4 linked regions of the Lonchura striata genome follow. The protein of the gene in region 1 interacts with the protein of each later gene in a pairwise test. Links are inferred from orthologs where the notes say so. Each region holds a gene or a part of one and is shown in the gene's direction. Other genes may lie near its edges.

What was found.
Region 2: the proteins of SAT1 (region 1) and CCDC148 interact in binary tests that used the Homo sapiens proteins (3 or more experiments, as listed by UniProt). The two-hybrid records come from large-scale screens. The link is inferred for Lonchura striata from reciprocal best matches to the Homo sapiens genes SAT1 and CCDC148.
Region 3: the proteins of SAT1 (region 1) and DIPK1B interact in binary tests that used the Homo sapiens proteins (3 or more experiments, as listed by UniProt). The two-hybrid records come from large-scale screens. The link is inferred for Lonchura striata from reciprocal best matches to the Homo sapiens genes SAT1 and DIPK1B.
Region 4: the proteins of SAT1 (region 1) and TCF25 interact in binary tests that used the Homo sapiens proteins (3 or more experiments, as listed by UniProt). The two-hybrid records come from large-scale screens. The link is inferred for Lonchura striata from reciprocal best matches to the Homo sapiens genes SAT1 and TCF25.

Annotation. Positions count from the first base shown.
Region 1 is NC_134604.1:103,766,666-103,773,865, forward strand, and holds SAT1 (diamine acetyltransferase 1), read left to right. Parts: upstream 1-4,149; 5' UTR 4,150-4,264; coding exon 4,265-4,330; intron 4,331-4,450; coding exon 4,451-4,670; intron 4,671-5,858; coding exon 5,859-5,960; intron 5,961-6,047; coding exon 6,048-6,088; intron 6,089-6,304; coding exon 6,305-6,475; 3' UTR 6,476-6,816; downstream 6,817-7,200. UniProt on the Homo sapiens protein: Enzyme which catalyzes the acetylation of polyamines. Substrate specificity: norspermidine = spermidine >> spermine > N(1)-acetylspermine. This highly regulated enzyme allows a fine attenuation of the intracellular concentration of polyamines.
Region 2 is NC_134610.1:625,653-633,500, forward strand, and holds the start of CCDC148 (coiled-coil domain-containing protein 148), read left to right. Parts: upstream 1-4,729; 5' UTR 4,730-4,844; intron 4,845-7,848.
Region 3 is NC_134624.1:8,715,354-8,723,088, reverse strand, and holds the start of DIPK1B (divergent protein kinase domain 1B), read left to right. Parts: upstream 1-4,616; 5' UTR 4,617-4,688; coding exon 4,689-4,751; intron 4,752-7,041; coding exon 7,042-7,176; intron 7,177-7,735.
Region 4 is NC_134615.1:22,908,339-22,915,899, forward strand, and holds the start of TCF25 (ribosome quality control complex subunit TCF25), read left to right. Parts: upstream 1-4,442; coding exon 4,443-4,622; intron 4,623-5,352; coding exon 5,353-5,547; intron 5,548-6,846; coding exon 6,847-6,921; intron 6,922-7,561. Other genes in the region: SPIRE2 (protein spire homolog 2), read left to right, coding at 44-403, 667-747, 946-1,110, 1,181-1,267, 1,377-1,485, 1,561-1,730, 1,810-1,960, 2,053-2,186 and 5 more. UniProt on the Homo sapiens protein: Component of the ribosome quality control complex (RQC), a ribosome-associated complex that mediates ubiquitination and extraction of incompletely synthesized nascent chains for proteasomal degradation.

The DNA of each region.
Region 1 (7,200 bases):
AACCCCTCTTAGTTAAAAGGAAACATTTCACAGGTTTCTTTTTAAAACCTGAGATATTTCCCCCTGATTTAAGTACACTGCAGGATCAGAGCCAAAGGGACTTCTACTGTATCCAAATACAATACTTCTATTGTATCCAAAACTGAGGCCTGGCTGGATTTTTTCCCATCATTTATTTCTATAACTTTTATACCCCAAATCATTTGCACACATGATATAGATGATTTTTGGATTCAGGCAGATAATTAGTTATGTCTAAATCCCAAATGCGTTAAACTGCGTAATTACAAATGGCAAATAAGATGCATTAGCCTACAGGAATAGGGTTCTAATGATCTAAAAAATGTTTTCAAAGATAATAAAGAAAAATTATGGGCCTTTTATTGCCAGCATGTGGAAATTCATGTAGCTTGATCACATGAAACTGTTAATTTTGCATTTACCCTGAATTCTGAGCATTGCTTATGCAGTATTTATTTAGTATTTGGACTATTTTGACAGAGATTAATTATGTGCAGCCTAGTGCTGATAAACTGTAATTTTAAGTGGCTTGAATAAAACATCAGAAGCAACTGTGAACTTATAAATATCAATGCAAGGTTGAAGGATTAAGAAGAAAACATTCAGTTGAAAACAATAAGAGAATCCCAAATGTCCAAAAATCATGAAAAATTACAGGTCAACCCTGAATATTAATTGCATTTTCCATATTTTGCTCCAGACATTTGACAGACATACAACTTGGATTAAAATACTTGGAAATATTTATTAGTACAATGACAAAATCATTTATTCACTACATTTAAATGTGGAATAAGGATTTTTTTTTCTCCTTCTCCTCTTATTTATTACAGAGAACCTCTGAGGCATGAGAGAGGCATTCATACAGGAATGCAAGGAATCTTCCTAGCAAAGGAGGAAATCAAAAATTAAAACAGGGGAAGGGACTGATTAGTTGAACAGTAAAGAAGGCTGGTGCCCACTTTGAGCCTTTCTGCCCACCCTCCAAGGAAAGAGAACCTTAGAAAATTTAGATGCAAATAAAAACATGCTTTTGATCCAAGTGCAGATGGGGTCCCATAACTCTCTGAATAAATTGTTCCATCACCATGAAAGGATCTGGGGGAAATGGCTTGGTTATTTCCTGTATCTTCAGACTAGAAAAGACCTCCATCTCTGGGCAGGATGTGGGGAAAACTTGCCTCAGTCACTACATGCACTCCATATGCTTTTATTAACAGCTGTTTATAAAAGTTCCTGTTGCATGATAGAAAAAAGAAAGTGCCACTTGCTATTTTGCAAAAATTTTTCTGTTTCTCCTATGAGTAATATTTAGGGGAAGATACAATAAGAATAATAGGAATTATGCACATTTGAGATAGTTCTAACCATTTTAACTTCTCAAACACCAAAGTCCAACCCTCTTGGAAATGCAGATGGATTCACAATCAACAGATTCCCCGTGGAAAGCTGCTGGCTGGTACAGAAGAGCTAATCCAGAGTTCAGTGCATATTTCACTATAACAGATTATTTCAACATTGGTTTACCTTAAATTCATTTGCTACCCACCTGCCAGCACACATATTTGCACAATTTTAAAAAATGTTGATCCTTTCAGGAGACTTGCCATTACTCATTCCTTGGAGAGAAGGGCAGGTAACAGGCTGTGACCACTGAAGGATAAAATCCAAGCCCTGTGCAGGTCATTAAAGATTTCATCATTGGCCTCAGCTACGTCAAGATGACATGAAACCTGCTCAAAGACAAACAGACCAGAGACAAAAGGAAGAAGCTGTAAAACACATGCCAAATCAGTCTGATTAATTCACAAACTGAGTTCTTTTGGAACCTTTTTGTAAAATACCCTTAGCATTCTAATTAAACTTACTTATTCTAGAAAAATACCCTTAAGAATACATAACTAAGTAATTATACTATAGTCTCTGAAATATAAATATCTTAGCTATTTTAATTTTCCTTTTTTTACTAAATTTTCCACATTTCCTATTGTTTCATGAAACTTTTTTTGACATATCATGATTTTTTTTAAATATTTTTCCTCTGCCTTGTGAATTTGAAAGCTAAATCAAATGAACTGTATTATCTCAAGCAACACAATATCAGCATATTTCTGAGCAAATTAAAGCAGGACTTTCAAAAACAGTCAAGGGAGAAAATGTTTGGGTCTTTTTTTGCTGAGACTTCAACTTCTACTTCTAAATCATGTGACTTTTCTGACTTGAGAAGAAAGAAACCAGACACTTTGTTTTCTTACACAGCAGTAGGTTTCCTGACAATGTGACTTCCTCTTTGTCAAGAAATGCAAAACAAAGAGAGTTGAGATAACACAAAGGCTGTTGTCTTTCACAGAGACAGTATTTCCCACTTCTGATCCCAGTCTAATCATTTCTAGGGAACGAAAATATCCGTATTCATTAAAGGTATGTTGTTAAGCAGAGTCTGTTCCTTGATAGTTTATTCAGATGCAGTCGCCCTACTAAATGCCCTGTCCTGAGGGATTTTCAGACTCACAAACCATGAAATAAATTTTAACTTTTCTACTACTAGCCACTGGCAGTTGCTTAGTAATATGGAAATTATTCTGTTCTTTGGGCATCTCTATTCTTGCTCTAGTAGAGGGTAAAGTGAGCCAGTTAGGGTGTTTGCATAAATCCTAAATTACTCTCCCAGGCCTTCAGGCACTTTCCACTGTGTGCTAACACCAGCCACCCGAACACACACTTTATACACACTTCTTTATACAATCCTTTTGCAGTATCATGTTCCATGCTGGTCCTTCTCTCTAAGTGAAGGCCAACCTTGTAGCTTGTCAGATACATGAAAAAATGTGGGTGTGTTGTGACTTAGTGTCTTCCCATACCCCAAACCACTCTTAAAACAAGTCAAATAAAGCTAAATGGAAGATAATGAGCTCCTTTACAATATCTAAGAATGTACATGACAGTGGGCCAACTAATAGAAGAGGGTGAACAGAAAACCACACATATGGCAAAGAGTTGCGCTTCTCTGGGTAGCCCAGCTGTAGGTCCATGGACCACGCGGTCATCAAGATCATGATCCAGCTCATTCCTCAGCACACAGCAGTATCCCTAGGTAATGTCCAGAGGAAGCACAGGGCTGAGGATAATTCCTCCATCCTTTCATACTCCAAAGTCATGTCGTGGAGTCTCCTCAGATGAAGTTTCCTCATCACACCCACCTCTCTCCTCAGTGACATCCATACTCCATCGGGATGGCGTCGGAGCCTCCCTTATGGCAGACTACTGGCAGCTCTCCCTGCTTTAACCCCACTCCTTCGTGTTTCTCCCAGCACAACCCCTTCCCCCCAGTCAGGCGGGTTACGGTGCGTGTGCCAGCCTGGGAAACGTCCCAGCCCCAGGGTTAACCTTCGGTGGTTTGAACCTTTCTCCGTAAGGACGCTCCTGCCCGGGGCGTACCCCGGCGCCAGACACGCTCCCCCGCGCCCGGTTGGGTACAGATCACTGCTCCGCGTTCCCCGCAAACACCGAGGGGTTTTTCGCTCTCTGCTCACAGCGGTGCATGAGCTGCCCCAGGGCCGCCCGCGCTCTGCGGCCAGGGCGGCGCCAGGGCTCCTCACACTGCCCCGGGCTGAGCGCAATGGCGGGCTCGGTTTTCGGGGTCCCGCGGCAGCCGGTGCGGGAGAAGCCGGGTCGGCGGTGCGGGGGAAGCCGCAGGGCGGTGCGGGGGAAGCCGCAGGGCCGGCGGTGCGGGGGAAGCCGGGTCGGCGGTGCGGGGGAAGCCGCAGGGCCGGCGGTGCCGGGGCTCCCTGAGGGCCGGTCCCGCCCAGGCAGAGCCGCCGGGGTCGCGCCCTGCAGCTCCGCCCAGCCCCGCCAGGGGGCACCGTGCGCAGCGCGGGACAGGGCGAGTCACGAGACGGCCGCAGCTGTTGCCGGCAGGCCCGGGCAACATTCCGGGGAGGGGCGCGGCCATTGGCTGAGGGCGAGCACCGCGGGCGCTCCTATTGGCTGATGGTCGGGGAAGGCAGGGCGAGGACGTCTTTAAATAGGGCGGCCGAGGCGCTGGGCTGCACTCTCCGAGCCGGGGAAGCAGCTGTAGCGAGCCGGACCGTCAGCAGCCGAACGCCGCCGGGACATGCTCGCAGCCTGACTGACCGCAGGTGGCCGCCGCGCCCGGGACACGAATGAAGAAACAGCTGCTCCTCCTGTTCACACACCGGGGACTCGTCAGCCGAGGGGGCCGCAGGGGGAAGCGTCGCCGAAAATGGCCTCGTTCAGCATCCGCGCCGCGCGTCCCGAGGACTGTCCCGACCTGCTGCGACTGATCAAAGTGCGGGCGGGGCGCGGGGCGGAGCGGGGGGACAGCGCTGCCCGGTGCCGGAGCAAAACAAACTCTTGCGCAAGGGAGGGGGGCTGGGGAGAGGCCGCTCACAACCTCCTTCTCTTCCAGGAACTGGCGAAATACGAGGACATGGAGGACCAGGTGGTGCTAACTGAGAAAGGTACGGAGGCTGCAAGAGCTCACCCGGTTGGCGGCCGAGTGACAGTGCCTGTGTCTCAGGTGCGTGTGTATTCTACTTTTCTAGAGCTGCTTGAGGATGGTTTTGGCGAGCACCCTTTCTACCACTGTCTGGTTGCAGAAGTGCCGAAAGACCAGTGGTCATCTGAAGGTGAGGCTTCCTGATACTTACTTTTGGATGCTCAATACAGAGAAGCATCATTTGCTTAGTATTAGTGATTGTAGATGAGGTTCCACCATTGGACTGGGGTAGGAGGACTAGGTTAACTGGTAAAATTCAATAATGTATAGTGATACTCTGCTGAAGTGGTTGCTAGTCCTGAAAGCATGGGAGATCAGGTATAGCATAATGTGCTTGACTCCAATTATTAAATGGCTTTTCTTGTTTGACCCTGACTTACCTTTATGTAATTCTGTTGAATCACATTTTTTTCTTTAATTTGTCCCCAATCTTCAGGTTACAGTCTCTAGCTTCGCCATGTACATGGCCCTTCTGTGTACATGGATGGGCGGGGAGGTAACTAAAAGATCCGTTACACAATAAAGTAGATGATCATAATATGAGGTAAGGCCTACAGGGACAAGTGCTATTCCCAAACCTTTACCAAAGACACAGTAGATGGCAGAAACCTGTTTGCACGCTTCTATTACAGTATGTGCAGAGTGTTATGGCAGATGTAGTTAAAATACTCAGGGTTTGTGTTTTGAGTGGGCTGTTGTTGGAAGAGTTGGCTGTGGCTCAAGAGTTGGCTCAACTCTTGAGCCATCGAGTTGCAATTGAAGCTGCAGCTTTACTTACCTTCTTGGTGCTGAAGGTAAAGAAAACAGTGTGATGCTCAGTGGAAGCATAAGTGGAAGTGCTTGAAATGCTGCTATAAAGGTGGCCTGTAAATAGGCCTTCTGGCACAGTAGTTACTGAGAAATATACATAGAAGGATCAGTGTTTTCCAGGGTTTGACAGACTGTTCCTAAGGAAGCAGAGCTGGGGCAGTCATCTAGATTGTGAGCTGCTGTGTAAAGTACTTGTCTTCCAGACTAGAAATGAATCAGTAGGGTGTGCATTATTTTGTAGAAAAAGGCCATGTTTGCACTTACTATGACAGTGCTTTTGAGGATTTCAGGGTATGGACAGAGCAATTTTTTGTTTTATTAAGCTGATACAAATTTGCCAGAACTTGAGTTTTCAATTGTGTGCTTATTTGCAAACTTCACTTTTAATTGTATCCTAGTTTCAAATGTCTGCATGTCCCAGAGAATCTGTATGTTTAAACATGCATGTAAAACTTAGTATTTTTACCTTGTAAACTCTGACTAGCTGAAGTTACACCCTTTGTTTCAGAAACATGCATTGTGGGCTTTGCCATGTATTACTTCACTTATGATCCATGGATTGGAAAACTGCTGTACCTTGAAGATTTTTACGTGATGGCTGAGTACAGAGGTACCTATTGCAAAATTAGATGAGTTAAAGCCCATAGGGCTTCTGTAGATGTAAAACTTAAGCTTCTTGTTTCTTGGTTTTTTTTAGGACTTGGTATTGGGTCAGAAATTCTGAAGAACTTGAGTCAGGTATGTGTAAGTGCAAAGTCTAAACAAGAATTAAAGGAGGTGGCAGGACTCTAGACAGCTTAAAACATTGCCTAGAGTCTGGTAAGCTGAGAAATGCTGCAGTGGCTGCTGGAATGAACTCAGTGGCTTATGGCAGTAGCCAGTTGCTGAGTAATCTGGCTGGGTGTCACTGGGGCCGTCCCCAGGTGCTGTAACCGTGTGGCATTGGCTTTGCAGGTGGCTGTGAAGTGCCGCTGCAGCAGCATGCACTTCCTTGTCGCGGAGTGGAATGAACCTTCCATCAGGTTCTACAAGAGAAGGGGTGCCTCAGATCTGTCCACTGAGGAGGGCTGGAGGCTGTTCAAGATTGACAAGAAGTATCTCTTGAAGATGGCAGCAGAAGAGTGAGAGATTATTCCAGCAAATACGTATTTTCTGCGAATATATGCGCTCTCTGAATAAACTTCTTGCTTTCTGTGTATGTACAGTTTGTAGTGGAATAAAGTAGTGTGGATGCTAATAATGGCAGTGCAGGTGTGGTTATAGAGTAATGGTACTGTGATCTGGAGCTGAGGCATCTGTGAAGTTCAGTATGTGCTTGTGTGCATCCTTTACCAGTGTGGGCTTGTAATCCCTGTATATGGAGACTTCATTCTTGTAAGTGTCATTCAACTGTGTACAATGTACACACTGGTAGGGTTTGTTTTAATTATTGCCTTTTATAAAAATAAAATAGTGTTTTCACTTCATGGTAGTAGTTTTGACTTCAATTCTCACATAAAGTTTTCCATCAAATAACATGCACATTAATAAAAGACTTGATTGACGTCAGCCTTCTCACAAGTTAAATGATTTACTATGGTCTCCCAGGGAGATAAAAAGGCACTTGTGTGCCTGTGGGACCTGATGGCAAGGTTTGAGCACCTGACTGTTTGAAAGGGTTTGAGATCAACCCCTGGTGGTGCAGGGCATCCTGCCTTGTGACCTATATTTTTAGGTATGTTTGGAATCCCTACAGTAAGGTGCTGCTCTCTGGACAACTGTTCCAGAAAGTCCAGAGCTTGGGACTTCCACTTAACTGCAGAGCACCTCAGCTGGAAGGGCACAGCCTTGAAGGGAAAGATGCATCCTGG
Region 2 (7,848 bases), on another chromosome or scaffold:
GCCAGGCCTTTCTCTTTTCCCACTTCATTACTGAGGTTCAAACTAGTTTAATTTTGGACTGGCAGTACATGCCATATTCCTAAGGATTTGACATCATCTTTTTGCTTGAGAAAAAAAAAACCCACAACCTGACCAAAAATGCTGAAAATTCTGCCCCGCACCTACACAGGTTCCCAGGGAGATGTCCACATGGTTGCTGTACAAGGTAGAAACACAGCTCAGGGCAGCCGTGTGTCCAGGGAGGCTGTGGAGCAGCTGTGTGTCCAGGCTCAGGACAGCCGTGTGTCCAGGGAGGCCGTGGAGCCTCAGTGCAGGCTCCGCACACGCAATGGGCCAGGCTCCGCACACGCAGAGGGCCAGGCTCCGCACACGCAATGGGCCAGGCTCCGCACACGCAGAGGGCCAGGCTCCGCACACGCAGCGGGCCAGGCTCCGCACACGCAGCGGGCCAGGCTCCGCACACGCAGAGGGGCAGGCTCCGTACACGCAATGGGCCAGGCTCCTCACACGCAGAGGGGCAGGCTCCTCACACGCAATGGGCCAAGCTCCTCACACGCAGCGGGCCAGGCTCCACACACGCAGAGGGGCAGGCTCCTCACACGCAGCGGGCCAGGCTCCGCACACGCAATGGGCCAGGCTCCGCACACGCAGAGGGCCAGGCTCCTCACACGCAGAGGGCCAGGCTCCGCACACACAGAGGGGCAGGCTCCGCACACGCAGAGGGCCAGGCTCCGCACACGCAGAGGGCCAGGCTCCGCACACGCAATGGGGCAGGCTCCGCACACGCAGAGGGCCAGGCTCCGCACACGCAGAGGGCCAGGCTCAGCACACGCAGCGGGCCAGGCTCCGCACACGCAGCGGCCAGGCTCCGCACACGCAGCAGGCCAGGCTCCGCACACGCAATGGGCCAGGCTCCGCACACGCAGAGGGCCAGGCTCCGCACACGCAGAGGGCCAGGCTCCGCACACGCAGCGGGCCAGGCTCCTCACACGCAGTGGGCCAGGCTCCGCACACGCAATGGGCCAGGCTCCGCACACGCAGAGGGCCAGGCTCCGCACACGCAGAGGGGCAGGCTCCGCACACGCAGAGGGCCAGGCTCCGCACACGCAATGGGCCAAGCTCCTCACACGCAGAGGGGCAGGCTCCGTACACGCAATGGGCCAAGCTCCTCACACGCAGAGGGGCAGGCTCCGTACACGCAATGGGCCAAGCTCCTCACACGCAGAGGGGCAGGCTCCGTACACGCAATGGGCCAAGCTCCTCACACACAGAGGGGCAGGCTCCGCACACGCAGCGGGCCAGGCTCCGCACACGCAGAGGGGCAGGCTCCTCACACGCAATGGGCCAGGCTCCGCACACGCAGAGCGGCAGGCTCCTCACACGCAATGGGCCAGGCTCCTCACACGCAGAGGGCCAGGCTCCGCACACGCAGAGCGGCAGGCTCCTCACACGCAATGGGCCAGGCTCCTCACACGCAATGGGCCAGGCTCCGCACACGCAGAGCGGCAGGCTCCTCACACGCAGAGGGGCTGGCTCCTCACACGCAATGGGCCAGGCTCCGCACACGCAGAGGGCCAGGCTCCTCACACGCAGAGGGCCAGGCTCCGCACACGCAGAGGGGCAGGCTCCTCACACGCAGAGGGCCAGGCTCCTCACACGCAGAGGGCCAGGCTCCGCACACGCAGAGGGCCAGGCTCCACACACGCGCTCCTGGAGCAGGGTCCCAGCCCATGGCAGCCCACCAGGAACGCTCCCTGCTCCCAGACCCTGCCCTGCTCTTCCACGCCATGAGCACCCAAAAACAAAAGAGCGCAGCTGCTCATCCGCATCACCTCCACGAAACCCACCCAGACTCACTGATGTGACTGAGCATGACAGAAAAGCAACTGAGAGCAACACAGACTATGGCCACTAACAGGCTCACTACTCTGCTTTTCCAGGCAAGTATCACAAGTTCTGCTTGCTTTTCTAGGGGGTTTTCCTGTACCACGTTACACTAAGTACTAAACCTGATACTAAGTATATTACCCTGGTACTAAACCAAACTAGTCTACTGTTAAGCTCACTGAACTCCCTGAACTCGCCACTACTTTCCTGCAGCAAATAACCAGATGTTGCAGGACTGGATTATTTTCAGCACCACAATTAAGAAAAAAAAAAAAACATAACAAAATTTCCCATAGATTCAGAACTGCTTTTGCTCTTCATCTGTACTAAATGTATTTAAACAATCTACATAAAGTGAAGCAGAAGTACATGAAGTACTTATTTATGTTTTCTGTTCATTTAAAATGCAGCTTTTCTCCAGAGTCTTTTCTCAGTGCATGTAGGTTTCCACACTAAACAGCAAACACACAGTACTAATTAAGATTACTATTATTTGTACATAGTATATGCTATCACCGAATATGAAAAATACCTCAAAATGCACTACAGACCCTGTTTTGCTATTGCAAGAAGCTTCTATAAAAAGGCAATGTATCCTACAACTTTCCTTGTTTACACTGTGTGACTGAATTTAACTGTTCTTTATAAAAGGATCCTGCATTACTATTGAAAAATGCAAACTCCAAAAGGCATTATCTTTTGACGATCTAAGAAAATTTAGAACTAATTATCTCCCCTCATAGAAGATGACTTGCACAAAACTTTGTCCAACTGTGTTTCAAAGCAGAACTTCTGGTATCAGTACCGCTATTTGTGCTGAATATCTGACAAGATGAAAGGGAAAAATAGTTTTTACTGGAAAGGAAAGGGGCTATCAGCTTTTCTACCTTAAATTAAAAATATTAATAGCATCTTATTTCAGCAGCAATAGAGAACTTCATAAGCAATTTCAACAGAAAAAGAAAGTTACTGCAACCTACCTTTCCGCAGTAAGGTTACATTTACTTACATATAACATTGTAATGTTTAACAGAAACATTACAGGATATAAATGCCAACAGAAAGCTTTTGCCCCCAACACACACTCCCTCCACTTTGAATACGATGAACATGACTGAATTACTGTCTCTTCATAAACTAAACAGGCACATTTAGTGGGTTCCCATATATATATCGCAATGAACAAACTATTTTATGTTGACCTCAGAAATACAGTTATTAGTTAAGGGGAAAACATTATCATCTTTGTCATCTCTTAATCACTAAACTCCAATTTATCAAAAATTGACAATGCTGAAAAAACTGAAAAGCCAGTTCATGCAACACTAGTGCTCTCAATCCAACCACACCTCTTCCTTCAAACAGTCGAATCTGGAAGCAATGACTAATGTAAAATTAACAGGGAGCGGGAGGCTGTTTAGGGGAAAAAAAGTACAAAGGTCTATGGGGCAAACAGAGGCACTTCAGAAACACTCAGTTGTCTGCTTGTGAACACTGGCGATGTCTCCTGAGCGTCAGCCGGGAGGAGAAATGGACTAGAGGGGGCTTGAGTCATCAGCTCCAGTTTTTCTGTGTTGAAACAGCCTGGGTTCAGCATCAGCATTTATTTTATTGCGGCAAGACTTCATTTCCCAGCTCTCCCAGCCCAAGCCACGGCACTAGCACTCGGTAACCGGCACCTGCAGAGCACTTTCTGCTCCCGCACACACTGCAGCGCGCCCGAGGCACGGCCAGCCGGCGGCACGGCCACCTGTCCCCGCGGGCCACGGCTGTCCCCCCGCACCCACACCCCGCACGGGCTGCTCCGCGACCACCCCGCGTGTGTGACCGGAGACGGGGGAGAAAACACCGCAAGAAGTTCCTACAGCCTCGAGAGCCGCGCTCCCGGTGCGCGGGCCGAGGATGCTCCGTGGCTCCCGGCAGCGGGAGCGCGGCTTGTTCTGCGGTCACACGAAGGGTGAAAAATTCAGATTTAAGTCCCGGGCAGGGAACACAGGGACGGCAGGGGGGTCAGGCACCCCCGGGAACACCAGGGCAGCAGCCGGAGCCGGGGACTCCGGGGAGCACCGGCGCGGACGCCGGGCCCCGTGGCCGCCCCGTACGAGCACACCGGGAGCGCAGGGCCCGGCGCTGCCGGCTGCCCGCGCCCGCTCCGCCGACCCCGCCATCCCCTGCAGCACCCGCCGTGTCCCCGCCCGGCCCCGCGCCCGGGGCCGTGCGGCGCTGCGGGCACGGCGAGGCCCGGCGGCCCTGCCCGCTGCGGCTCCGCTGGGCTCGAAGCTCCGGGCGCGGCGCCGCGCACACCTCGCGCACACGGCGGGCACCGGCGGGCCCGGGCTCCGCGCTCCCGCCCGGCGCCCGGGGCAGGGCGGTGGCACCTCCGCCCGCGGGGCCCCCTCCGGGCGGCTCCACCGGGCTCCGGGCGGCCCCGCGGGCGCGGAGAGCGCGCGGCGCGCCGCCCGCGGGTCCGCCCGAGACGACGGCTCTTCGGCCCCGATGCCCCGGCGGGGTCCGCCGCCTCGCCTGCCTCGCCTCCCGCGCCGCGCCCCGCCGCCCCTCGCCTGTCCCGCGCGGCGGCCCCGGCCCGCGGCCTCCCCGTGCCCGCACTCACCGCGCGGAGCGGCCCCGCGGCCCCGCCGGGCGCGCCCGCCCTACCCCGGGGTCTCCATGGTGGCGGCCCCGCCGCCCGCTCCGCCCGCCCCGCCCCGCCCGCGCAACGCGTCACGCTCTGCCCGGCCCGGCGGCCGCCCCCATTGGCCAGGCGCGGCCCGGGGGGGCGCCCCATTGGCTGCTGCTCCGCGTTAAACCCGCCAATGGTGGCGCGACTTGAGGTTGCCGTGGTTACCGATGCCGTGAGGGGGAGACGGCGCGGACGGGCCGGGACGGACCCGGGCCGGGACAGACCCGGGCCGGCTCCGCCAGGACTGCCCGTGGCCCCACCGCCGTGAGCCCTCGCGGTGAGTGTCCGAGCGATGGATGGACGGATGGGTGGATGGATGGATGGAGCACAACCGGTGCAGGGTGCCCGTGATGGCCGGGCGTGCCTGTCCCGCGCTGCCGGCCGCCTCCTGTCCCGCCGAAGGAGGAGCGCAGAGAAGAGCAGCCGGAGTTCCGGGGGCTTTGCCGGGCCCGTCTGCCCGTCACCCTGTGTCACCGGGATGGCCCTTCTTGGACAGGGAGCTTGGACTGGCCGGCCGCTCGTGGTCCCGTCCCGCCTGCCGCTCCTGTGACCGGCGTCGCGGTACCGGCAGAACGCACAGCCCGCGGCGCTGCTCGAACACCTGGGCTAACTCCAGGTGTTTGGGGACGATGGGGAAACGCTTTCCATAGTGTTTTAATTTCCCACCATTTTAAGCTTCCAATAGCAGCCGAACTCTCTTGATGGCGTGTGAGGAATCATAGACGTCGAAAAGAAAAGCCAGTATCCCTAAAATCGCCGTAAAACATTTCAATAACAAGCTTTGGGCATGTTAAATGCTTGATCAATTTTTTGCATCCCATACCTGACCTAGACTTACCATCTCGGTGTGTCTCGGGAATCTGACTGGGGCCATTCCTCTCCTTCCAGCCTCCCGAGCAGATCGCCCCGGTGTAGCCCAGGTGTGACTGGTTTTCCATTTACTTATTCTCTCCTCCCACCCTCCAGCCCTGCAGGTACGATAGCGATCGACACTCTCCACTTCATGGGACGGTGTTGTAAATGGCTCAGAGGAGCCAAAAGCAAACGGCCACTTGAATCAGCAGCTCTTGCTGGCTCTAGAGGTTGTTTTATTCACCCTCTTCCCCTGTTGTATAGATGCAGATGGTGTAGAAATCCTGCTGTGAAGGAACGTGAAAAAGGTATCCACATGTAACTTGTGTCTGTTTTCCATCCAGCTCAGTTTTTCGGTTTACTGTTTGGTGGGGTGAACCACAGTTTTATTTTAGGCGTGAGGACACATGAACTCGTGTTGTGGTTTAATTGGTGCTGTGCTGATGCTGCAGTTAGAATTATGTCCTTGTTAGCCTCTGCTTAGGAGGGAACTGCAGGTAACAAGGAGGAGGTAGCTGAACATGAGAGTCACCTCTAAACTCGTCTGCCCCTTCTCTTAATTTCCCACTTGGGATGTAATATACTACATGGAAACTATTGGTAAGATATTTAATCTCTGAGGTTTTTGTTGCTATTTGTATAATTATTTATCTGTTGAATAATGCAATAGGAACTCCTACATTATGATGATATCCACATAGTAAACACTTGACAGCTGTAGCCAGGAGTCTTGAGTCCTCACTGCTCTGAAAAATCTCATGGTTTATACCATGTGAACTGCATATAAAATATGACGAAACTAAAATGGTGGTCTCTGTCTAGGAAATGGGAAACAGGAGCTGAGGGAAATAACAGTAGAAACTTAGTAAAATAGAGTAGCAGTTGTGAAATAAAATAAGTGGTGGAAGGGTCAAATGAGAGTGGAGAGCTGGAGTAAAGAAAAGATAAAATGTGAGTTAACTTGATCATGAATAAAGGGAAGAGAAAGCATAGGATGTGTGAGAGCTGTGACCTTCCTTAGCTGTAAGGTTGCTTCTACCAAAGGTGTACTGGATTAGTTAAATTGGCTTCAAATCAGTCTCAACTGGTTTTCACATGTAATTTGGGTATTATTATGCTGGCTTGGCTTTCACAGGTAACAGCTTTTGGGAAAGGAGGAAGCTTACTTGCCCCTCAGCAAGTGAAACTGTTCCTGGGCATCGCTGTGGGCAGGATGCAGGAGGTGGCACAATGCCATCCCCAGGCCTTCCTGGTTCTGGTGGCTCCAGGTGACCAGGAACAGGCTGCTCCAGGTGCCCTGCATCCCTGCGCAGCCATGCATTGCAGGCTCTGGCTGTGCTTTAGAGTTCCCCATTGGGGTGAGCTGGAAAAGGGTAAGAAATGCTGTTGGGAAGGAGAAAGGGATCTTGAGTCAGTTTGTTTTGGCACAAGAGAAGTAGAAAGAATTGAAAGTAATGTTTTGAGGTCCTGTCAGATTTGGAAATATGCTGAATGACTGTCAGTGAGGAAAAGCTGTTTCATTCTGTCTGGTATTAGTCATAGCCTCCTAGCTGGTTTGTTTTGGCACCCTGAGCAGCCAATACATTATCTAATTGACTGCCGTGTGTCCCAGTGCAGCAGTCCTGTCCAACAAGGATGACATAGGCTATGGAAAGGCACCCCATTTTAACTGTCCAGTTAAATGTCTAGCAAAGGGCTGCCTGGATGGTGATTCTTTGATTCCTTATCCATTAGCTGAAAGTGACCTTTGTCAAATATATGTTTAAATTCTTACATAATTTTTTAAATCGGCAACAAACAAGTCAATTTTATTTCTTTTCATCTTCTTCTGGATGCAACTTGCAAGTAAGATGGTCTGTATCATTCTCATTTAGAAAGCCATCATTCCACTATGTTTACAATTCATAGCAACCTAGTCTCATACTTTCCTTTGGGACTGTATGGTTTCTCTTGAGCCTTAAATCTGACCCTTTAAACTGACTGTGCTCATCTTCCTGTGGTTTAGATGGCAATGCTGTTAACAGATACTTGCTAGCTGTTTTTGCTGCTGTTGTGCTTCTTCAGTGTTTCCAGTCATTAATATGTTTTTCTGCTTTGTTTAATCTAGTCTGAAATCAATCCATAACAGAGTCTTGCTTTTTATATATATTCCACAGATGCTTACAGCCCTTGCAGAACATTGACATGTCTATCTTTTAATTTTAGTGATAAATATCAGTCACAAAAACAGTTTGCTATTTTTCTTGGTGGGTGTTGTGTTTTGTTTTTCTCATTTATTCTACTTTTTGTTTTGTTGTTGTGAATTTGGTTGGTTTGGTTTTGGGGGGTTATTTGGGGGAGGCTGAGGGCTGTGGTTTGGTTTCTGCTGGAAGCTATTTAATGCTACCTGCTTTAACTTTAATCTCTTCCAGATACTGAAATTATGAAGG
Region 3 (7,735 bases), on another chromosome or scaffold:
CCACACGGGGAATATATGTCTGCATGAAATAAACAGTTGCTCTCTCTCAGTTTCCTCTGTTATTGATTAATGCCTCTTAATGACTCTGACCTCAAAAAATCTTGTAGTTGCCGCCTGTCACAGAAGATCAATGGAGCAGCATTAGCAGGAGATAGAGGCAAACTGTCCCAGGTGAGCTCTCTGCCGAGGCCAATGTGGGAGCAGCACAATCAATATTTCAGCATGACCTCTCCCTCTTGCTTGCTTTTTTTTCTCCTTGAGCTGGTTGGGCAATAAAGTCTGCTCTGAGCTTTCACCAGGACTAGATTATAACTATCCAAATTGATCTGATCTGTAAAGGATAAAAGGGTCTCTTAAGCCAGCTGTCTGCACTGGCAAAACTCAAGTGGCTGAGCAGACAGGGTCAGACCTTCATTAATTCCTGGATGCTTGGGACCCTGCTCATGCCATGCGTGAAGGCTGGACCACAGTGCTGGAGGGAGTCAATTAGTCATGACAAATGCAATCTGACTTCTCCCCCAGAGCTTTCCCAGTCAGTTGCTTGTGCTGCTGGTGCCTTTTCACGAGTGCATCATCACTGAAGCCACCATGCCCTGTTCCTCCCATGCTCTCTTTGTGATACCTCCTTGTTTCTCTTATTACCCTTTCTCCAGGGATAAATTGTGCTCAGGAGGGAGAGCCCTTTGTTGATTCAGGCACTGGGAGATGCTGCAGTGAGCAGAGGTGTCCCAGGTGAAGCATGGGACAGGGGAGGTGAGGGCGGGTTCTCTTTTGCTCACACAGCCACTGCCTTCTTGAAAACCTTCTGCACATCAACCCTCCAAACTGCAGCCTCTCTCCTCACTGAAACTGATACACAGGGAGCCCCTGGGAGATGAATGGGGACTTAAAAACCATGTCCAGAGCTGTTCATCCCACCTGTGCATCTCTGGCTCTTCTGAGGCCAGCTCAGCCCATGCCTGCTCCAAGGAATGTCTCCCTGGCCAAGCCTGACTTTGGGAGCCAAATGCCCAGGGTGCAAGCTGTGCCCTGGCTCTCATGTGGAGCAGCTGGGGGCTGGCAGGGGCTGTCCGTGGCCACTGGTGAGGGAGGAATCCTCTGGGCACGACCTGATGAAGAATAACTCCATAATCTAAAGCAGTGCAGGGATCTGCTTGCTCAGCCTGCTTCTCCAAGCTCCTTTGCAAGCTCCCTTTCCTCCCTGGCTGGGAAGCGCCCACGGTTGGCACATGATGGAAATCCCAATGAGAGAAGCTCCCCTTCCAGAGCCAGCACCGCAGGGCTCCCAGCCACAGCCACCACCCTTTGCCTTTAACCCCAGCACTGCCTGCAGACCCTTGAGCTTCCCTCTCTTTCACCTCATAGTTCAGGGCCAGGGACATCCCTGGGGTGTCCCCAGCCCAAGGTGATGGTGGTGAATGAAGGGTGAGACCCCCAAATGGTTCCCAGCAAGCCAGGAGTTCTGTGAGGGCTGCAATCCTGGCCCAAAGCATCCGACGAGCCCCAGCACCCCCATTCAACCCCCCTTAACTTCGTAGTGCTTAATTACAAGTAGCAGGGGTTTGGAGAAGAAGCGGAGGGGGCAAGCACAGGACAGATTGGAGGGAAGATTGTGCTGGGGGTGGCAGGGCTGTCAAGCCAGAAACACAAGAGCTGATTAGCATTTCTAATTATAACCGCTGTGCTGAGCCCGGCAGGGCCGGCAGGCAGCAGAGGCAGCTGACGGGCTGTGCAGTGCCAGCTGTGGATGCCGCGCAGGAAGCGCGGGCGGTCAGCCTCAAATCCTTCAAAGATGCACAGAAAAGAGCATTAAAGCCTGGATCCATCATCTCCGGAGCTGCGGCCATGCCTGGGAATGCCGGGAGCCATCGCAGCCCGCCCGGGGCAGAAATCCCTCTGTGCCCATGGGGCTGATCCTGATGGCAGAGGAGAGGGGGGTGAGCATGTGCCCCTGTTTGGGTTTGGGGTCCTGCACTCCCCTGCTGACCAGCAGCTCTGGGCACTGCCGGTGATGGCATTGGGCTGTCCCCAGCTGTCACCCAACTCTGACATCCCACCCAGAGGAAGGTGGGCAGCTCAGGGTGCCCTGGAGGGGATGAGGGGATGGAAAAAGGGATGGCTGGAGGTCCCTGCTCACGAGCCAGGCTGCTCTGCACTGCTGTTATCTCTGGCTGGAGATCATTTACTCCTTTTCATTTAGCCAGGTAAATATCACGGGCCAGCAAATGACCGCTGTGGGGCTGTGGCTGCCATGTCCCGGGGGCACGGTGCCCTTGGGGACGTGCCCGCAGAGCCACCGCCTGGCAGGGAAGTGATCAGAGGCCAGCGCAGCACGCTGCGGGCTGAGCTGGGATTAGCAGGGCTTTGACCAGGAGAAACTGAAGCGACTTAATCAAGGCAGGGAGTGAAAGAAGTCCCAGGGAGGAGCTGAGCATTGGCTGATCCCGGCATCTTCTGCATGCTGACAGCGCCTGTGGGAGCATTTTCACACAGCTCTGCCTGCCTGATGCTGGAGCCCATCCTGGCAGTGCCAGGGGATTTTGGGGAGGGGAGAGATACCTTGCACAGGGGCAGCAGCCCAGGCAGAGCATCCCTGGTGCCAGGTATCTGGGATAGAAACAGCACATGGGCACCATGGGGAGAGATCTCCCTTCCCTTGTGCGTTGGGTATCATCACACCTGCAGAATTTTTATTACTCTTTTGATTGGATTAATTAATCATTCAGTGATAACTGCTCATTAGGCATCCTAACAATCAATACTAATCACTTAATTACTTGGCATATTACAGCTTGGGATAGTCTGCTCATTCCTAATTAGATTCGCTGGACAATCCACACCTGAATTTTGCAGAGCCCCACAGCAGAGTTCTGTGGATTTCAAGCCACCCTCAGCCCTGGCCCAGGTGTGTCATTTCCCATCTCCATTGAGAATTCTTCTCCCACTCTTGGCCTCCAAAATCAGAGTTCAAGTCAGAAGGAGCTGCAGCAGCAGGGTGAGCAGGGAGTGTGGAATGCATCCAGCAATCCACCTTCCTGTCCCTGCTCTTTCCCAAATTACCAACCCCACCATCAAAAATAAATCTCAGAGGCTTTTCTTTTTTCCTGTGTGAATTAACACTAAAAATAAGAACCTGCTGGAGAACCATCCTGGCTTCAGTGGGTGGTCATACCTGCCTGGATGGGGGCTGTGGGTGGCCGAGGTGACGTTCATTGTCCCTGTCCCTGTCACCGCTGCAGGCAATGTCAGCCCAGCCCACACAGAGGTCAGGGCACAGCACTGGAGCAGCAGGGACCTCCTCGGGGTTAAAAGCAGGCAGCAAGCACACTGCAGGATTTGGGAGGTTTCAGGCAGTTTTGTGTGATGCTCCTTATTCATCACCATCATTTGGATTAGTCTGGCAAAGGCTTTTGCTCATTAGGCCCTGATTACTCAGTGCTTGGCACTCACACCGAGCAGGGATCTGGGCTCTCAGTGACCAGTCTGTTTTCAAAGGTCATTTTAAGCCAAATTCAAAATGAAGGAACAACCTGAGCCACTAAAAGGGGGCAAACGGATAATCTGAAGATTTGCTGATAGCAGGCAAGGAATTATCTTAACAATGCCCTCGTGACTGAGTCTCCCAGATAATTTCCCATCTTATTTGCTCCGTCCCCCTTGCTCTAACTTGAACGTGCACACAGGATCATTTCCCATCATTATATTTGCTCCATCCCCATTGCTTTAACTTGAATGTGCATGCAGGATCCCCCTGGATGGGGCTGTCTCTGGCCTATTGAACACAAAGTCTTGCTGTGAGATTTCCCTGCCTGGCCACAATGCAAACAGGGAGGAACAGCCCACGCTGCTGTTGGGTTTCGGGGTGGGGAAAAGACACAGCAAGGAGGAGAAGGGGTGGCAGGGCTCAGGCCTGAGGGGCTGCAGCCCCCCGAGCTGTGCTCACAGGTTACCTGCTATGGGGAACAAGGAGGGAGTCTGGCCGCCTGTCACCCCAAATGGCTCTGAATAAACCTGGAGCTGCTGTGAATGCTGGGGGCCAGGTGGGATCAGCATCTCCACAGAGCCCTCCCTGCTCTGCCAGGATCATCAAGCAGGGCTGGGAGAGCCTCTGTGCGGTGGGGTGAGCCTGGGGATGGGATCCCCGAGTGGGTGGGGTGAGCCTGGGGATGGGATCCCCGAGTGGGTGGGGTGAGCCTGGGGATGGGATCCCCGAGTGGGTGGGGTGAACCTGGGGATGGGATCCCCGAGTGGGTTCCACCCACTCGGGGATCCCATCCCCAGGCTCACCCCACCGCACAGGGGCTCTCCCAGCGGAACCCCGGAATATGGGATGGGCATGGCTCCTCCAGTGGATGGACCCCTCGGGCTTGCGGCATGACACCGCCGGCTGGGATGCCCAGATGCGGAGCGCTGGGTTGGGTTTGGCCGAGCGGAGCAGCATCCCCCCGGTTCCCCGGGCTGCGGCGGAGCTGCGAGCGCCGCCTCCGCCTCCCGCACCGCCCCGCGCCGGGCGGAGCCGCCGAGCCCCGCGGGCCGGGCCGGGCGCTGCGGCGGAGCGGGCGGCGAGGCTGGGCCCCCATTCCCCGGGACCCCGGCCCGCCCCCGGGCCCCGGCGGCGGTGCGGGGGCCGCGGCCGCCCGGCCATGCCCCCCGGAGCCTGAAGCCCGCGGCCGCGGGGTGCCCGCAGCATGCGGAGGATCCGGCGGCTGGTGCATCTGGTGCTCTTCTGCCCCTTGTCCAAGGGCCTGCAGGTACCGGCAAGAGGGAGGATGAGCCGCGCTGGAGGATGCGGGCTCGGGGATGCGCTGGGAATGAGGGGGGATGCGCTGGGATGGAGGGTGCGGGCTCAGGGATGCCCGTCTCCCGCATCCTGGCACCGGCCGTGCACAAAGGGACGCTCCGGCTCGGTTCCCCCGACGCCGGTGCAAGGAGCTGGGGGCCGGGCAGCGGCACCGCGGGGGTCTGGAGGAACGCCGGGGGTCTGGGGCAGCAGCCGGGGCCGCAGCGGTTGCATAACCCGCGCCGCGCTCCGCCGTGCCGGAGCCTGGGGGCACCGGGGCAGCCCGCAGCGCTGGGTGAAGCCGCCGATGCAGCAGGGAAGGGATGACTCCTTCCTTCTCTTTCTTTCTTTTTTTTTTTTTTTTCCTCCTCTTCCCATCTCTGAGCTTCCGAGGGGCCGGGCACCTCCCTCAGATCTCCAGGGATGCTGGGGCCAGGGATGTCAGGGATGCTGGAGGATGTCAGGGATGCTGGAATGGGAGTTTTCTCTGCAGCCGTGGGCTGAGAGAGCCTGACTGTGGCAAAGATCCCGGACCAGAGGGGTTACCCTGGAGGGGATGAGGGGATACCCGGTGGGCAGAGGGTGCTGGCAGGAGGTGGGTGCAGAGCTGGGAGTGCTTGGAAACAACCCCCGTGTTCCCAGGGGAGCCACAGGGATGGAGCAGGATTTTGTTGATGCTGCATCCATTTTGCCTTTGAAGTCAGCCCCAGCCCAAAGTCACTTTCATATCCTCGAGTCACTCTAAAACTAAACACAGCAACTCTCACAGGGCGACACCCTTCAGTGCAGGGAAGGCAATGGGGAGAGAGACCCTCTTTGAGGAACCCTCAAAATCCAAAATCCAAGCAGAGCTCAGGGGAACCTCTCATTGAAATGCATCCCCCACTCCCACGTTTCTTTCCACCGTTTTGGGGATGATGCAGCCAGAGTTCCCCATGCCCGCAGTCCTGACTTGCTTCTCCCACAGGAACATGATGGATTCTAAGTCAGAATAAGCAAAAAGTGACATTTTGGCTATTCCAGGTTCTCTAAGACATATTTCTAGCAGGAAGTCCCTGAAGAGCCCCTTTGCTGAGGGCAGGGGGCCTCAGGCACCCACCCTGGGTAGTTTTGGGGGGCTGCTGTGCTGGGGGGGATCTCAGGGTCTCAGTGTGTCTGACTTCAGGGCCATGAGCTGGTTCTCAGCTCACCCCACGCTTTGTCTTTGCCAAGGCCTGGCTGTGCTTGGCTTCTCTTTAATTTAATTTCATGTTAATTAGCGGTGCCATTGCTTCACAGGCAAACTGGGCACCCTTTCCCTCTTCACACTTTAGGGTTTCCAATTAACAGGAGAAATGTCACGATCTCGAGGCAGACCTGCCTGCTCTCACCCTCACTGCCCATTCCTGTGGCTCCCAGAGCCCTGACAGCTCCTGGAAAGGGGCTGAGGAGGAGCGTTTTGGAGGTGGGGAGTGGTTTTGGGCTACAAGACCCAAGTGAGGATCCCTGGCAGGTTTTAAAGGTGCTGCACTCACTCAGATCCAGCCCTATCCCCCAGCAGCAGGTCTTGAGGAGGGTTTGGAGGTGGTCAAAGACCAAGGTTTCTGTAGAATTACCTACAGAAATGGGATGGAAAGATTTGTTTAGTGCAAGGATTCGTTCCCTGCCCTTTGGAACCGCCGGGATCTGCTCCGTTACGGGAGCCAGGTGAGCAGCCTCTCTTGCAGGAGGCCAGATGGCAGCAGTGCTGCTGTGCCAGGGTCAGGGGGAAGGAACAGAGCCAGCAAAACCAAAATCCTGCTGAGAGCCTCCGAGTCGTTTGCACAGAGCATCACCCGTGAGCTCCCAGGTTTGTCACTCGCCCACTCCCACACGGGAAGTGCTGCTGGGAGCTTCCCCTGCCCGTGGGGCTTTGTCAAGGGGGGGTTCTGCTGAGAGGGGTCCCCCCAAACAGGAGCAGAGCTCTTGCAGCCCCTCTGGGGTACCCCAGGCTTGCACAGGGCAGGAGAGCAGGAGGACGTGACCACAGCTCCCAGGGATGCACAGCACCCATCTCCTTGCAGCCCAGCCTGCTAATCCCTCTGCTTTTAGGGAATTTTAAGTGACCTACTTGCAGCAGGAGTTGCATAAGAGACTGATGAATATATATAAAAAAGGCTGAAGGTTTCCCCAGCGCTCAGGTCGGTGCGTGTGGCAGGAGCCGTCCTTGGCCAGCTGCTGCTGCCCTGGGCAAAGCCCTGCCCTTCAGAAAGGGTTTCAAAAGCATTTCCTTTCCCTTGCAGGGCCGCCTCCCGGGCATCAAGGTGAAGTACCTGCTGGTGGTGTGGCTGGGCATCTTCGTGGGCAGCTGGGTGGCCTACATGCACTACTCGTCCTACTCGGAGCTGTGCCGCGGCCACGTCTGCCGGATGATCATCGTGAGTGGGCTGCTGGGCTGGCTGGGGCTCTGGGAACCCCATTTCCATCCTCCCAAACCCCACAGCTGGGAGGGGGAGCCCTCCTGGCAGCTGCTGCCCTGCTGCTGTCCCTGACACGGCAGGAGGGGTGACCTTACCCTGCCAGGGTGACAGTGAAACAATTCCATGGGATGGCAGAGGGAAGCAGCCAGGGCAGATCCACGTCTGTGCGGATGAAGCTGGAATGGCAGGGCAGGGAGCAGGATCTGCAGGCAGGGACAGCATGGCACCAGTCCCGTCTGGGCTCTGCAGAACAGGAGGAAAAAGGGAGCACGCAGTCCATGGCACCTGTCTGTGATGGCTGAGCAGCCCCAAGGAAAGAAAGGAGCAGAGCTCTGGGTGGCAGCCTGGCTCTGTGTTTGCCTCTTTGGGGTTTGCAGGGGAGCCCCAAGGAAAGAAAGGAGCAGAGCTCTGGGTGGCAGCCTGGCTCTGTGTTTGCCTCTTTGGGGTTTGCAGGGGAGCCCCAAGGAAAGAAAGGAGCAGAGCTCTGGGTGGCAGCCTGGCTCTGTGTTTGCCTCTT
Region 4 (7,561 bases), on another chromosome or scaffold:
GGTGCCGGGTGCACGCTGCCCCAGCCGGTGCTGTCCCCCGCAGATGGTGCAGTCGCTGGGCTTTGCCGTGTACCGGGCGCTGGACTGGGGGCTGGACGAGAACGAGGAGCGGGAGCTGAGCCCGCGCCTGGAGCAGCTCATCGACCTGATGACCAACAGCGACTCCGAGGACAGCGGCTGCGCCACGGCCGACGAGGGCTACGGGGGGCAGGATGAGGAGGAGGAGGGGGGCGAGGGGCCGCCTCGCTCGGTGCGCACCTTCGGCCAGGCCATGCGCTGCTGCGCCGCCCGCCTGGCCGACCCCGCCGGCGCCCCGGCGCACTACCAGGCTGTGTGCCGCGCCCTCTTCGCAGAGACCGTGGAGCTCATGGCCTTCCTCGCCAAGATCCGCGATGCCAAGGAGGTGAGCGTGGGCTGCTGGCACCAGGGCCCTGCCGAGGAAACCACCTGCAGTGACAAAGGAATGGGGGAGGCTGCACTGCTCCCTCTGCCCATGCCAACCAGGGCTGCTGGTGCCGGTGCTTGGCCGTACAGCCTCTCCCAGACTGCTGTGCTGCCTGGGAACCAGGAATTGGGGTGCACCTCAGTGCTGCAGCCCCATGGCACAGTCCTGGCTGCACCTTCAGTGCCACCAGGACAAGGTGACAGCATCTTGTGTCCCAACAGCTACTGCAGAAGCTGAAGGAGGATGAGGAAGAAGAGGAGCGGCCGGTGGCAGATCTGGGCAACCTGCGCAACACAGACTGGGTACAGCAGTGTGGCTGGGCATGGGGCTGAGCTGGGAACAGGGCTGAGCTGGGCACGGGGCTGTGCTGGGCACGGAGGCTGAGCTGGGCACGGAGGCTGAGCTGGGCACGGGGAATGAGCTGGGCACGGGGCTGAGCTGGGCACAGGGCTGAGCTGGGCACGGGTGGGTGCTGACACCGTGTCCGTGTGTCCCCCCAGGCCCGGCTGTGGGTGCAGCTGATGCGGGAGCTGCGGCACGGTGTGAAGCTGAAGAAGGTGCAGGAGAAGCAGTTCAACCCTCTGCCCACCGAGTACCAGCTCACGCCCTTCGAGATGCTCATGCAGGACATCCGTGCCCGCAACTACAAACTCCGCAAGGTCATGGTGAGCGTGGCCACCGTGCCAGCCCCTCCTGCCACTCTCCAGCCTGGCACTGACCCCCTTCCCTCCCCAGGTGGATGGAGACATCCCCCCCCGGGTGAAGAAAGATGCCCACGAGCTCATACTCGACTTCATCCGCTCCCGGCCCCCCCTGAAGCAGGTGAGTGCCAGCACCGGGCCACCTCCCTGTCATGACAGTGTTGGTGGGTCCCATGGGTGCCACCCCTGAGCCATGGCCACACCTGAGGTCCCATCTGTGTATCCCGCAGGCATCAGAGCGGCGGCTGCGGCCGCTGCCCCAGAAGCAGAGGACGCTCCATGAGAAGATCCTGGAGGAGATCAGGCAGGAGCGGAAGCTCCGGCCCGTGGAGCAGAAAGGTACCCGGGTCCCCTCCCCGCTGCGCTGTGTCACCGTGTGCCCATCCCCGCGGCGCTGAGCCCGTCCCTCCGCAGGATACAGCTCCTTGCCCTGCATCCCACACGCCTGCGCCGGCCGCCTGAGCTCCAGCTCCTGCCTCGAGCTGTCCCGCTGCCCGGCCAGCGCCGTGCCCGCGCGCCCACGGCCACGCGTCCTGCTCAAGGCGCCCACCCTGGCCGAGATGGAGGAGATGAACCTCTCCGAGGCAAGGGAGAACCTGCAGAGGTGGGGAGACACGGGGGTGCCAGGGTGCCCTTGGTGACACGGTGCCCACGGCCTTGCAGGACGAGGACTCTCCGGGCACGGAGGTGCCACTGAAAAGGGATCGCTCCTTCTCGGAGCAGGACCTGGCCCAGCTGCAGAGCCAACTGGGGGGTGACCAGGCTGTGCCACGGGACCCGGAGCCACTGCAGCCCGAGCCACGGCCCCGCTCAGGTACCCCCGGGGGTGCCATGTCCCTGTCTCCAGGGGTTCTGTGCCATGCCCGTCAGCGGTGGTGGCCACAGCCTCCCTGTCCCTCCCCGCAGGCTCTGTCCCTGCCAGCTGCCACCCGCTGCCAGATGGCCCAGCACTGCCCCGGGCTGCCCTCGGAGCTGTGGAGGAGAGGCCAGAGGATGGATCCAGTGCTGCCCCTGCCAGCAGCTCCAAGCACCTCTGGCTGGTGGGTTTCAGCTGGGAACACTGGGGCTGGGGACACCAGGCAAGCATGACCGTGGGCACATGGCAGCCTGGCACAAGGATACACGGTGGCTGGGGGGTCCTTGTGCCAGAAATAGCCTGCCTCTCCTGGGACACTCTGCCTATGCCAGGGGTGCTCTGCCCATGTTTGGAGGCTCTGCCCTGGCACAGGAGTGCTCTGGACCGTGCCCTGTGTCACAGTGCAGTGACATCCCCCCCGTCACAGGAGTTCAGCCACCCTGTGGAGAGCCTGGCCCTGACTGTGGAGGAGATGATCAACGTGCGCAGGGTGCTGGTCAAGGCCGAGATGGAGAAGTTCCTGCAGAGCAAGGAGCTGTACAGCAGCCTGCGGAGGGGCAAGGTGGGAATGGGGATGGGGGCTGGAGGGACTGGGGACCGTGTGTCCACACCCACCCACCCCAGCTCACCCTGCTCTGCCCACAGGTCTGCTGCTGCTGCAGGGCCAAGTTTCCTCTCTTCTCCTGGCCCACGTCGTGTTTCTTCTGCAAGCGGTGAGCACTGTGCCCAACTGTGCCATGCTGTGCTGTGTCACAGGGCTGGGAGGGCAGCAGCAGGTCCCCACAATGGGCCCTCTCACCCACCTCTCTCTGTCCCTAGGTCTGTCTGTAGCTCCTGCAGTCTAAAGGTAAGGGACTGGCTCTGTCTGAGCAGTGCCACTGTGCCCCTTGCCCTGCCCTTCTCCTGCCCCATTTTCTCCCTGTCCCTGCCCCATCCCACTCCACTCCTGTCCTGTCTTGTCACTCTGACCCATCCCCATCCCTGTGTGCTCTATCCCTACCCCATCCCTGTCCCTTTCGCTGTCGCTGTCCCGTCCCGCCCTGACTCCCGCATTCCGGCAGATGAAGATGCCTTCCAAGAAGCTGGCTCACATCCCCGTCTACGCGCTGGGCTTCGAGAGCCTGCCGGGCTCGCTGCTGCCCAGGGCCCCGCCGCTGCGCCGGAGGGAGCCCTTCCAGTGAGTCCCTGAGCCTTCCTCCCCGTTCCCCTCCTCCTCCTCCTCCTCCTCCTCCGCCGGCGGGGGCTGACGGGGTGCCCTGTGCCGCAGCTCGCTCTCGGGGCCGTGCTGGCGCCGGGTGGAGGAGGAATTCCCCCACATCTACGCCCAGGGCTCGGTCCTGCGCGACGTCTGCTCCGACTGCGCCGGCTTCGTCACCGACGTGGTGAGCTCCAGCCGCCGCAGCGTGGCCGTGCTCAACGCCAGCGCCGCGTCCCGGCGCCACGCCAAGGCGCGCTCCCTCTACAGCGACGCGTGGCTCAAGTGAAGAAGGGCCGGGCGGCCCGGTGAAGGTCGCCACGGGGGTGGCACAGCCCCCCGATGTACATATATACATAGGATGGATACACACAGCTTCTATATTTATATACATTATGGACCAGGGGGCAAAAGGACCCGTTCCCGCTGTCCCTGCCATCCCCGTGCGTCCCTGCCACCAGCCCCCGAGGGAATGGATCCTGCTGCGGGACACCCACAGCCCCCCGGGAAGACGGATCCCGCTGCGGGGCAGCTCCTGGGGGCTGGATCCTGCTGTGGGACACCCACAGCCCCTGCGTTCGCCCCCCGGCCCCGCTTCTGTGCCAAGCCCTGGCTGTGCCGGGGTGCCCTGGGCTGGCACGGCTGTTCTGTATGTCCCCTCCATAATAAACCCGCTGGGCTGCCCTGGGGCCGCGTGGCCGCTGTTGAGTGGATGGGGGAGCGGGGTGAGGGTGCTGCGGGCTCTCAGGGGATCGGGGATACCTTTCAACCCGCACATCTCCCACCGCCAGCCCTCATCCGCCCCGGGCTGTGCCCACCGTGACCCCGCACAGCACCGTGGGCACGCCCCGCACCTCATTCCTGCGCTCCCCTCCCCACTCCCGCGCGCCCCCACCCCAGCCTGCGCCCGGTCCCCGCCCGTGTCCCGGGCCCTGCCGCGTCTCCCCGTTTCCCGTGCCCCGTGTCCCCGTGTATTTCCCCGTTTCCCGTTCCCCGTTTCCCCGTGTCTCAGGGCCGTGTCCCATTTCCCCGTTCGTTTCCCCGTTCCCGGTTCCCGTTTCCCCGCTCCCCGCTCCGGGACGCGTTCCACGCGCGGGCCCCGACGGGGACGTCGGCGCGCGGGGGGCGTGGCCTGGGCGTGGCCTGCGCGCAGCCGCCAATGGCCGCGCGCGGCGGCGGCGGGCGGGCGCGGCGCGGGCGGCGCGCAGGCGCGGTGCGGGCGCAGGCGCGCGGCGGGCGGGGGCGATGTCGCGCCGGGCCCTGAGGCGGCTGCGGGGCGAGCAGCGCGGCCAGGAGGGGCCGGGGCTGGGCGAGCTCGGCCTCCGCCCCGGCCCGGAGCGCGCCCGGGAGGGGGGGCCGCCGCCAGCCCCCGGGAAGGGGCCCCGCGGGCCGCCCCGCGCCGGCGTCAGCAACCGCTTCGAGCTGGTGAGGAGGAGCGAAGCCGCGGGGTGCAGCGGCTGGGGGCGGGTGCTGGGGCTGGCGGGGACTCGGGGGACGTTTCTGGGGGGTCAGCTGTGGGGCAGTGACCGAGCCGGGTGGGCAGTCGGGACATTGCTGAGCGACAGTGACCTGGGAGCAGAGGCTGACGGGCTTTGGGGGTACTGGAAGGAACAGGGGGGCAGTGACTGAGGGGGTGGCAGAGGTGACAGTGTGTATGGCAGTGACTTGGGGTCAGTGATTGGGGTCAGTGATGGGTTTGGGTGGGGGGCAGCAGCTGGGGCTGGACCGGGAGGAAATGGGAGAGAGGCCTGGGTTTGGATGGTGTCAGAGCTGGACTGGTGAGAATGTTTTTAGGAACATCCCTGCCACCTTCCCAGCACTGCCGGATCCCAGTGCTGGATGTCAGACGGGCCTTGCTGGGTCCTTGGGGTGACAGAGCCCGGTCCTGCTTCCCAGACACCTCCTCCAGCCCCATCCAGTCCCTGTCCTTCCCCGGCGCCTGGCTGTGTGAGCGTGGGCAAGGCCACGTCTGGAAGCTCTTCCAAGGGAAGAGTGGAGTCCATGGTGTGAGGGGACACATCATGGGAGTCCTGTGCTCCCCTCTGTGGGCAGCCTCTGGGTGACACGCTTGACACGAGGGGTGTCCAGACCTCCATCTGTGTGCAGGAGGAGTGGTGGATCAGATCCGTGGGCAGTTCCATCCCTGTGTTTGCAGATCCCAGCTGAGGAGTCAGAGGACGAGCCGGCAGCCGGAGAGGAGCGACCGGAGCCCCGGCTCAGCGAGCAGGACACGGCGGGAGGGAGCCAGGAGGGGAGCAGGCACGGGAGCAAGGAAGGGGCTGGGAGCCCTCCGGAGACGGACGGTGATGGACAGAGAGAGGGGCAGGAGGCCGAGCAGCCACACAGAACGGTAATGCTGCCAGGGATCCCGGCAGGGACACTCACTCCTGCCCGGGAATTCACTCCTGTCTGGGCAGGACGAGCACTTTGCTGCTGGGGCTGGGTTTATATGCAGGATCCAGAGGGATTTGCCGGCTGCAGAGGGGAGGCACCCGGGGAAGGCGTTGTGCTGTGCCCACGTGAGCGCTGGGGTCGGGCCAGGGAGGAGTGGTCTCACAGAGGGGATGTGAGGACTTCAAGCAGTGTCAGCTGAACACTGAACCTCTTCTTCCCCATAGTACTTTGTTGTCATTGGATGTCAAGATTCCTCCTGTGGTCTGTATCAGCCCAGAAGTGTCTCCTTGCAGGATTTTCTAAGGAAAGGGGTATTTAATTAACAATTTCCCATTGCAAGGCATGCCCAGATCTCACCAGAGAAGAATGCTGGGGGAGCAAAGGGGGTTGGGCCCTGGTCTCACTTGTTTGCTATGTATTTGGGGTTTGTGTCCCTGGTTTGGGTGGCAGAGGAGCAAAGTCCACTGTGCATTCCAGCTGTGCCAGTGACCTCTCCCAGCCCAGGGGCTGTGAGTGCTCTGGACAGTGTGTCCCTGTGTGAGCAGTGGCTCCAGGGGTCCTGACCTGGTGAGGTGGCTGTGCCAGCACTGCCAGACACACCTGTGGCTGCTCCCAGAGCTCCAAGTAGGATGTGGGAGCCCTGGCAGGCAGCTGCTGCTCCTGGGTAGAGCCAGGACAAGGCTTGGAGCAACCTGGTCTAGTGGAAGATGTCCCTGCTTAGACAGAGGATAGGAACTGGATAAACTTCGAGGTCACTTCCACCCCAAACCATCCCATGATGCTGTGATCCCTTGCTGAGTTACCTGCTAGAGCCTGGAAATGTGCTTCCCATCTGTGCAGTCCGGGTAAGAGCAGCTGTGCCAGCAGGGTAGGGAATGCCCCCAGCATCCTGAGCTGAAGCAGCTGCATCTCTGGGGAGAGCCACTCTGGCACTTGGACCTTTGTCAGGTGTTGGGACTGGAAGAGGCTGAAGCATTTCCTCCACACCTGGCACAGCTGAACTTGTTTCTCTCTCGATTTTGTAGCCTCAGACACTGATGTGAAAGTTAGCTGAGGTTTTGCCCTTTTTGAATCTTTGGTGCTTTCCTCCATTTTCTCCATGTGTCTTGATTTCCACCCACTAACAAACACTGAAGGGTGAATTTTGGTTTCGTTTAAGGACCCTCAGCATGCTGATTTCCTGTGGGAAATGCTCTTCTTCCCATGGAGCTGGCACCCCTGGGAATGCTGACAGCTCTTCCCTTTGTCTTTGCAGCTGGCAACGAGTAACAAGCCACGGAAGAAAAAAAAGAAAAGGAAAACCAAGAAAAATTCAGCAGGAGAGACTGTGGTACGTCTGTGTGTGTTCTGAGTCAGGGTCCAGTGGTTCCTCCAGTGCTGCTGGCAAAGTGGGAATTCTGAGGTGACTGTAGGAGAGATTCAAGGCAAAAAAAAAAAAGCAGTTTCAAAATTTAAAGTTAAAGAAGCCTCTTTAGGATCGTGGAATCCTGGAATGGGTTAGATTGGAGGGGACCTTAAAGCTCATCTCATTCTATCCCCTGCCATGGGTAGGGAGGCCTTCCATCACACCAGGTTGCTCCAAGCCCTGTTCAACCTGTCCTGTCACTCTATCCCTGTCCAAAGTCCCCCTCCAGCCCTCTTGGAACACCTTCAGGCACTAAGGGGCTCTAAGGTGTCTCCAGAGCAGAGGAGCTCCAGCCCTTGGAGCACCTCCCTGGCCTTCTCTGGACTCATTCCAGCAGCTCCACATCCTTCCAGTGCTGCGGATCCCAGAGCTGGAAGTAGCAGATGGATTAAAGTCATTTATCTCCTTAATTCAAGAGGAGTGAGGTTCAGCTGGTTTGCTGGTGATGTTTGAGTCTGAACTGTCCACAGAATTACAGGTTCCTTAAGGTTGGAAAAGACCTCCCAGATCATGGAGTCCAACCTCCCTGTTCACTCCAGGGAGATTCTTTGGTCCACATCCTGAG